2 linked regions of the Sus scrofa genome follow. The protein of the gene in region 1 purifies or fractionates together with the protein of each later gene. This does not show direct contact. Links are inferred from orthologs where the notes say so. Each region holds a gene or a part of one and is shown in the gene's direction. Other genes may lie near its edges. The genes, in order: ARHGEF2 and MARK2.

Region 1 (3,805 bases):
ACGTGCGGACGCTAAAGATCATGACCCGCCTCTTCCGCACGGGGATGCTGGAAGAGCTGCAACTGGAGCCAGGAGTGGTCCAGGGCCTATTCCCCTGCGTGGACGAGCTTAGTGACATCCACACACGCTTCCTCAGCCAGCTGTTAGAACGCCGACGCCAGGCTCTGTGCCCTGGCAGCCCCCGGAACTTTGTCATCCATCGCTTGGGTGACCTTCTCATCACCCAGGTGAGAAAAGACAAGACCCATGGGCAACATTCCTGGGAGGAGGTGTGACTAAAGTCATTTTTCAGCTCCAAACTCTAGGGGGTGGAGCCAGGGAGAGCTGGAGAGGCTTGGAAGCCAGCCTGTATGGCAGGAGACTAGAGGGTGTGGGGGATAAGAGGTGGCTTTGGGGGAAATGCTGACCCAGCCTTGCTCCCCCAACTTCTAGTTCTCAGGTCCCAGCGCAGACCAGATGCGGAAGACCTATTCGGAGTTCTGTAGCCGCCACACCAAGGCCTTAAAGCTCTATAAGGAGCTCTATGCCCGAGACAAACGCTTCCAGCAGTTTATCCGGGTGAGCAACCCTCTCCAGGACCCAAACTCAGAACCTCCTCCGGTGGTCCAGCCCTTGTAGACACATCTGCCTGTGGATCCTGTCAACAGCCCCCCATAGCAGTAGACCAAGTGCTTTTGCTACTTTGAGCCTCATGATAAACCCATGGCCTTGTCCTCCCCATTTTCCAGTCTCAGTCACCTATGCCAGCCAGCGCATGGTAAATGGCCAAGCTAGGGCCCACACCAGGGCTTAGGCTCCAAGTCCAGGGTTCTTTCTGTTGTCCTCGGCTCGGGTCCCACCTTGGCCCTGAGCCCTGCCTCTGTCCTTCTAGAAAGTGACCCGCTCAGCCGTGCTGAAGCGCCATGGGGTACAGGAGTGCATCCTGCTGGTGACTCAGCGCATCACCAAGTACCCGGTGCTCATCAGCCGCATCCTGCAGCATACCCACGGTGAGAGGGAGGACCCGGGAGGAAAGAAGATGGGGAGAGGGCTCTCTGGGGTGAGAAGCGGCTTGGGATAACCAAGAGGAGAGATAGAGTCAGCTGTGGGACCGTGGGCCACCTCTGATGGTGAGGTGAGATGGGTTGGAGTATGGTGGCTGGCATGAAGCTGGCTAAGCCACTTCTCCCTCACGCCGACCCGTGGTGCCAGGGATCGAGGAGGAGCGCCAGGACCTGACGACGGCACTGGGGCTGGTAAAGGAGCTGCTGTCCAATGTGGACCAGGATGTACATGAGCTGGAGAAGGGGGCCCGCCTGCAGGAGATCTACAACCGCATGGACCCCAGGGCCCAGACCCCAGTGCCTGGCAAGGGCCCCTTTGGCCGAGAGGAGCTTCTGCGGCGCAAGCTCATTCACGATGGTTGCCTGCTCTGGAAGACAGCAGCGGGGCGCTTCAAAGGTCAGTGGTCAGCTTGGCAGACCAGGGAAGAGTCTGCGAGTCCACGATCAGATTTAGAGAGGGAGAAGCATCCAAACACTTAGGACTTTTTTTTTTTTTTTTTTTGGTCTTTTGTCTTTTTAGGGTTGTACCTGTGGCATATGGAGATTCCCAGGCTAGAGGTTCAATCAGAGCTATAGCTGCCAGCCATAGCCACATCAACATGAAATCCCAGCCACATCTGTGACCTACAACATAGCTCATGGCAATGCGGGATCCTTAACCCACTGAGCAAGGCCAGGATTGAACCTTCGTCCTCCTGGATACTAGTCGGGTTCGTTAACCACTGAGCTACTCCTCCTTCAGGACTTATTTATGCAGCCCTATATCCTGGGTGAAACCTCATGGGAGGAAAATACATGTTCTCTGTTGCAACAAAAGTCTGAATTCTGGATTTAATTTCATGGGCCATACAAGGACTTCCTTAGTGATTTTTTTTTTTTTTTTTTTTTGGTCCTTGTATACCCAGAAACCTACCAGTTTTGATCAGGAAGACAGAGAAATTCCAGGGTCAGAGATCAGGGTTGATTCTTCCAGCTTGAATCCCAGCTGCTGGGGCTGGGGAATGGGCAGGAGTTTTGGGAGCACAGTTGGGGAAGGCCCAGGGGAGGGGGCGGAGCCCAGGGAGGGGCCAGCAGGGTAGAGAAGAGAGTACAGAGGGGGCATGTTGGGGCAGGGCATGCTTTCCCAGGCTCTCTTCCCAGACTGCTCTGGCCAAGTCTTTCCTACCTAAATCAAGACAAGAGAGTTGCAGTTTTCGGCTTTGGGGGTGAGGAATGAGGGGCAGAAGTAACCAGTACTACCTGAGACCAGAACCTGCCTGCACCTCTGTCCCATATCATGAAATCCCCACTCCATGGGCTTGAGTATCACAGGCTTCACCAGCCACTTTCCTTCATCCCTTTCTCTCCTCTCATCCCTCCCACGCAGAAGCTAAGAATATAAACTCTGGGGGGGATTAAAAATAGCAAGGCTGGAGAGCTTTATTTCTGAAGCATTTAGTGAAAGCCCTCCCCTTCTGTGTGCCCACTATTAGATCTCCAAGGGCAGAGTGAGTGTGTTTGCTTGACTGTGCTATCCAGTTTTCATGGGCTTGACCTTTGTTTCCCCCAAGTCTTTTTTTTTTCGGTCACGCCTGAGGCATGCAGAAGTTCCAAGGCCAGGGATCAAACTGGTACCACAGCAGTGATAATGCCAGATCCTTAACCCTTCTTGGAGGCACCAGAGAACTGCCCCCTAAGTTTTAAATTGAGAGCACAGGACCTCGTAGGATCTTGAGAACCTGGAAGGTGGGGTAGAGAAGGAGCATGAAAGCAGGGCCTGCTGAGGTTGGAGACTGGGATTGTTCAACGGTGGGAGAGGGGGATAAGGAAGCTAGCTGCTCCCCTCCCTGCGGAGGAGCACAAAATGAGAAGTAGGACTACGCCAGGGTAGGGGCAGGGGTGGTGGGATAGGGTGACCTTAGGCCAAATGTCCAGAAAGGTCTTATGATTGTTGTTTGACATGGAACTGAAAGGCTTAAAAACAGTAGTCCCTCCTACTGTGGATGGAATCCTTTTACCCTCACATAAATTCTGGACCTTTGCACACTGAAAATTACACGTGTGTTGTATGAATATGTAAAATTGCTTATGCAACTTTGGAGGCTTTGCAGAGCCCTGAAGCCCAACAGTGGACATCCTAGGGATCTGTAGACCCCAGGTTAAGAAACCTGCATCCCCTGGATAGAGTGTTTTTTTCAAAGGCATTGGGTGATTGCTTATGGGCGCTTTAGCCCAAGAAGCTGTTTTATCTAATGGCACATACATTTTTCTCCCAATTCCTGAGCTGTAAGAATGGATCAGGGGGAGTCTGCAAAGGTAGAGGGAGCAAACCAGAGGCAGAGAGATCAGGAAGAGGGGAATCAGGAGCTCTAGCCTGACGGGGTAGACCTGGTTCCTGAGAAAGGGAAACAGCTGCTCACACCCTCCAATGCTGAGTGTTCTCCTGCCTTTATCCTCCTGTCAGATGTGCTGATGCTGCTGATGACAGATGTGCTGGTGTTTCTCCAGGAGAAGGACCAGAAGTACATCTTTCCTGCCCTGGTGAGACCTTCCACCTTCTCCTTTCTCAGCACAGACAAGTGTTTCAGGCCCCTTCTTGATTTCCTACTCCAGCCTGAAAGAACCTTGGACTCCTCCAGAGTCAAACAGCTATTATTATAACTGTTACTATAATGTAATGACAAATAAGAATTGCTAACAGGTATTGATACTGTCTGCAGGCACTTTTGCACCTATGAGGAAGGCCCATTATTATCCTCTTTTTTTTTTTTTTTTTGGCCTTT
Region 2 (3,609 bases), on another chromosome or scaffold:
CCCACCCACCGGTGGCACTTCCCCAGACCCGCCCTCACAGAGGTCCCAGCACTAAACTCTCCCTCGCTCTGTTTTTTGAGGAACCTGAATGAACCTGAAAGCAAAGACCGAGTGGAGACGCTCAGGTGAGAGAGGGCTGGAGCCAGCGCCGGCCCTGCCCGGGGCCACCCGGCTTGCCACGAGCCGCCTGCTCCTCTCGTCCTTCTGCCACCTGGCTCTTCCTCCTGTGCTTCTGCCTCCCCCGTCCTCTCGGGGGTCTCCCTTTCCTCAGAGAACCCCACCCCCACCCCCGCCCTGCTGCAGTAGGTGCGGGCCCTTCTCCTTAGATCTGGTGTGTCCTGGAAGCAGGAGCCCTGGGCCGGGGTTTGGAGGTACAGACTCCTTCCCTGTCGGCAAGCTCCCCTTCCCACGAATCAGCCACTTCTTGCTGTCCAGTCTGCGAACTGCTCAGGGCTTGGAGCATGTGCTCCCCTTTCTTCGCCGCCCCTCCCTCTACAAAGGAAAGCCTGGAGCTGTCACCTCGTCACCCCCGCCCCCCGGGGGGCTGCAGGACTGCGCACCCTCCTCACCCCTCCCTCCGCTCCCCGGGCCAGGTCTGAGGCGCCCTCTTCCAGCACCGCCGCCTCCTGGCACCCTCCCGCTCTTCTCTCCGTCTCAGGGTCCTTGTGCCAGGGGGGCTCTCCCATGGGTGGGGCGCCCCAGCTCCCGCCTGACGCCCGCCTCTGCCCTCTCCGCAGACCTCACGTGGTGGGCAGCGGCGGCAACGACAAAGACAAGGAGGAGTTTCGGGAGGCCAAGCCCCGCTCACTTCGCTTCACGTGGAGCATGAAGACCACGAGCTCCATGGAGCCCAACGAGATGATGCGGGAGATCCGCAAGGTGCTGGACGCAAACAGCTGCCAGAGCGAGCTGCACGAGAAGTACATGCTGCTGTGCATGCACGGCACGCCGGGCCACGAGAACTTCGTGCAGTGGGAGATGGAGGTGTGCAAACTGCCTCGGCTCTCTCTCAACGGTGTTCGATTTAAGCGGATATCGGGCACCTCCATGGCCTTCAAAAACATTGCCTCCAAAATAGCCAACGAGCTTAAGCTTTAACAGGCTGCCAGGAGTGGGGGGCGAAGGAGGCGGCCAGCTGGACTTAGCTGCTGGGGCCGGCGCTCCGCCCGCCCGGGCCGGACTGCAGAGATGGATTGGTGTGTCTCCCCTGCTGGCACTTCTCCCCTCCCCGCCCGTCTCAGTTTTTTCTTCCATGTTTGTGGGGGCCGGGAGATGGTTCTCGCCCCCACCACGGTTACCCTGCCCAGATCGTCCCCCTCCCCCCCTCTCTCCCGCAGGAGGCGAAGGAAGGGGAGGGAGGGGTGGGGGGCGGGGCTCCCCCTCGGTACTGCGGTTGCACAGAGTATTTCGCCTAAACCAAGAAATTTTTTATTACCAAAAAGAAAAAAGAAAAAAAAAAAAAATCCCAGCGGCCACCTTTCCTCCCTGCCCCATTGGGACAGTCGAGACTGGATCTGCGGGGTTTCCCGGGAGGGTGGCTCAGGGCTGGAACACTCTCAGGCAAGAGTGGTGGAGTTCCCTGTTAGGCCCTCCGCCAGGCCCACTTTGGGCTTCTCCCCTCTCCTCTCCTCCTTCCCCTCCAAGTAAACCACCAGAGGTGGCCTTGCCCTGACCTCAGGCCCCTGGGCTGGAGGCCTGGGCGGCGGGGGGCTGGGGGTGGGGGTGCCGCGCAGCCCTGAAGCCGTGGGGCTGGCGGCTGCTCTGGGGCTGGCAGGCTGGGCGCGGGGCTCCGGCCTCCCTCCACACTGTATCCTCTGCCCCTCCTTCCCCAGAGCTGGGCATTTCCTTCCACAAGCTGCTGTGGGGACTTTTGTTCCCCTCCTCAAAAAGTCTGTGCCATCTTCTCCCACCCCCTCCTGGGTAGAAGGCGGGGCTGACCCCAGGGCTGGGAGAGGGGAGGGGACTGCAGGGCAGATGGGCTCCTCGGCCCCCAGGGGGCCGCCTGGGCTGCTAGTCTCCGGAACAGGGACGCTGGGCATTCTCCGTTCTGGGAGAGCCTTTGTCTGAAAGCACAGCCCCCCACGCCGTTCCTCTCCCCACTGCTCCCCTTCGTTGGCATTAATCTGGGCACCAGCTAGTTCCATAGCAGTGACTTCCCTCACCACTCATCTCTTGGCCTTGCCTTTTCTTCCTCACACTGTCACCCCTCCTCTCAGGAGACACTGCCCCGGGGCCTCCGCGGGAGGCTGGATAGGGCAGCAGGGCCGGGGAGCCTCTGCTCTCGGCGGCGGGGTGGGGGACCGATAGGCCAAGTGACTCCCAGCTCGCTAACCTCCGCAGCCAGCGTGGGAGTGGCTGGTTATGGGCGCTTGGCTGGTGGCAGCCGCTGCATCCCTTAATTTATTTCTCTGCTGTCTCTGTTCTTGAGAAATTGGGGGAGAGGTCCTGAACAGAGGCTGCCTCTACCCTCACCTGAGTTGTACATTTTTTTGTGATGGGTTTTATTTTTTATTTTATTATTTTATTTTTTTTTTCTTTTTTTGATTTATGATGACTCCACCCCTACTCATCACCCCCACTCCCAGGCCTGGCTCCCCGGCAAGTTGAGCCCTTGGGTCCCAGGAAGGGGCCCCGCCAACCTCAGCCCTCCTGCCCCAAGCCCTAAGACTGTGGGCTCGACTGTGGGCTCCGGCTCCTACCAAGGGCTCTCCCTCCCTCCCTCCCTCTCTCCCTCCCCTGCCCTATGGAACAGCCCGGGTGCTCCGAGGGGCCGGGAGGGCAAGGCTTGGCTCCCAAAGGGGGTGGTGGCTGGGGGGGGGCTCCCAGGCAAGGTGGCCCCTCCCCACCCAGCCCCCCTTCCTGCACTTAGTTTTTCCTCTGGATCAAACACGTAATAAAGAGAATGTTTGGAATCTGAGCTGCCTCCTGTCTCTTCTCCCAGCTGGGCAGGGACCCAGTGTCCATGGGCAGCCCAGCCCGCCTGCCTTGATTCCTGTCTGGGGCCTGGGGAAAGGCCAGTGCTGGGCGGGCGCCCTCCCCACTCCCATCCTCATGGCACAGACAGGAAGCGACGTCCAGGACACTTAAACTAAAAGAGAAAGGATTCAGTGAGCTTGAAGGTTTTATTTATTTTTTAAAAACATTGAAAAATAAACCCATGTCTGCATATGTTCCCAACCCTTTCTCTAAGCTTTTGGGCAGTGGGCACCCTCAGAGCTCCTCAGCACTTCCCACCTGACCCTGAAGACACAAGAGCCCCTTCTCCAGCCTCCGCTGCCGTCAGGCCCCAAAGAGCCTCTCTGCCCACCTCCCTCCTTCAACACCCTCCCACCTCACCCCAAACTTATTGCTAAAAGAAGGGAAAGAGGAGGAACAGCCAAGACACCTAACTGTCCTCTCCCCGGCTCCCCAAGCTATGGTCACTACCCCCTATACTCGAAGGGCAGGACCCAAAGGCCAAGCCCTGGCAGGCGAGGAGGCAGCCGTTCCAGACCCAGCCAGGAAGAGAAAGTAGCCTCGGGCCAGCTCAGAAGACCCCAGACCCTGGCTGGGAGCGGGTGGACACAGGCTCGGCTGCCAGGAACACGTGCAGAGCCCACAGGTGCAGGC

The links.
Region 2: the proteins of ARHGEF2 (region 1) and MARK2 purify together in Homo sapiens (affinity purification with western blotting; 3 studies listed by BioGRID and IntAct, with this or other methods). This does not show direct contact. The link is inferred for Sus scrofa from reciprocal best matches to the Homo sapiens genes ARHGEF2 and MARK2.

Annotation. Positions count from the first base shown.
Region 1 is NC_010446.5:94,067,756-94,071,560, forward strand, and holds part of ARHGEF2 (rho guanine nucleotide exchange factor 2), read left to right. Parts: coding exon 1-227; intron 228-432; coding exon 433-558; intron 559-871; coding exon 872-989; intron 990-1,191; coding exon 1,192-1,440; intron 1,441-3,486; coding exon 3,487-3,563; intron 3,564-3,805. UniProt on the Homo sapiens protein: Activates Rho-GTPases by promoting the exchange of GDP for GTP.
Region 2 is NC_010444.4:8,153,175-8,156,783, reverse strand, and holds the end of MARK2 (serine/threonine-protein kinase MARK2), read left to right. Parts: intron 1-80; coding exon 81-125; intron 126-737; coding exon 738-1,098; 3' UTR 1,099-2,914; downstream 2,915-3,609. UniProt on the Homo sapiens protein: Serine/threonine-protein kinase. Involved in cell polarity and microtubule dynamics regulation. Phosphorylates CRTC2/TORC2, DCX, HDAC7, KIF13B, MAP2, MAP4 and RAB11FIP2. Phosphorylates the microtubule-associated protein MAPT/TAU.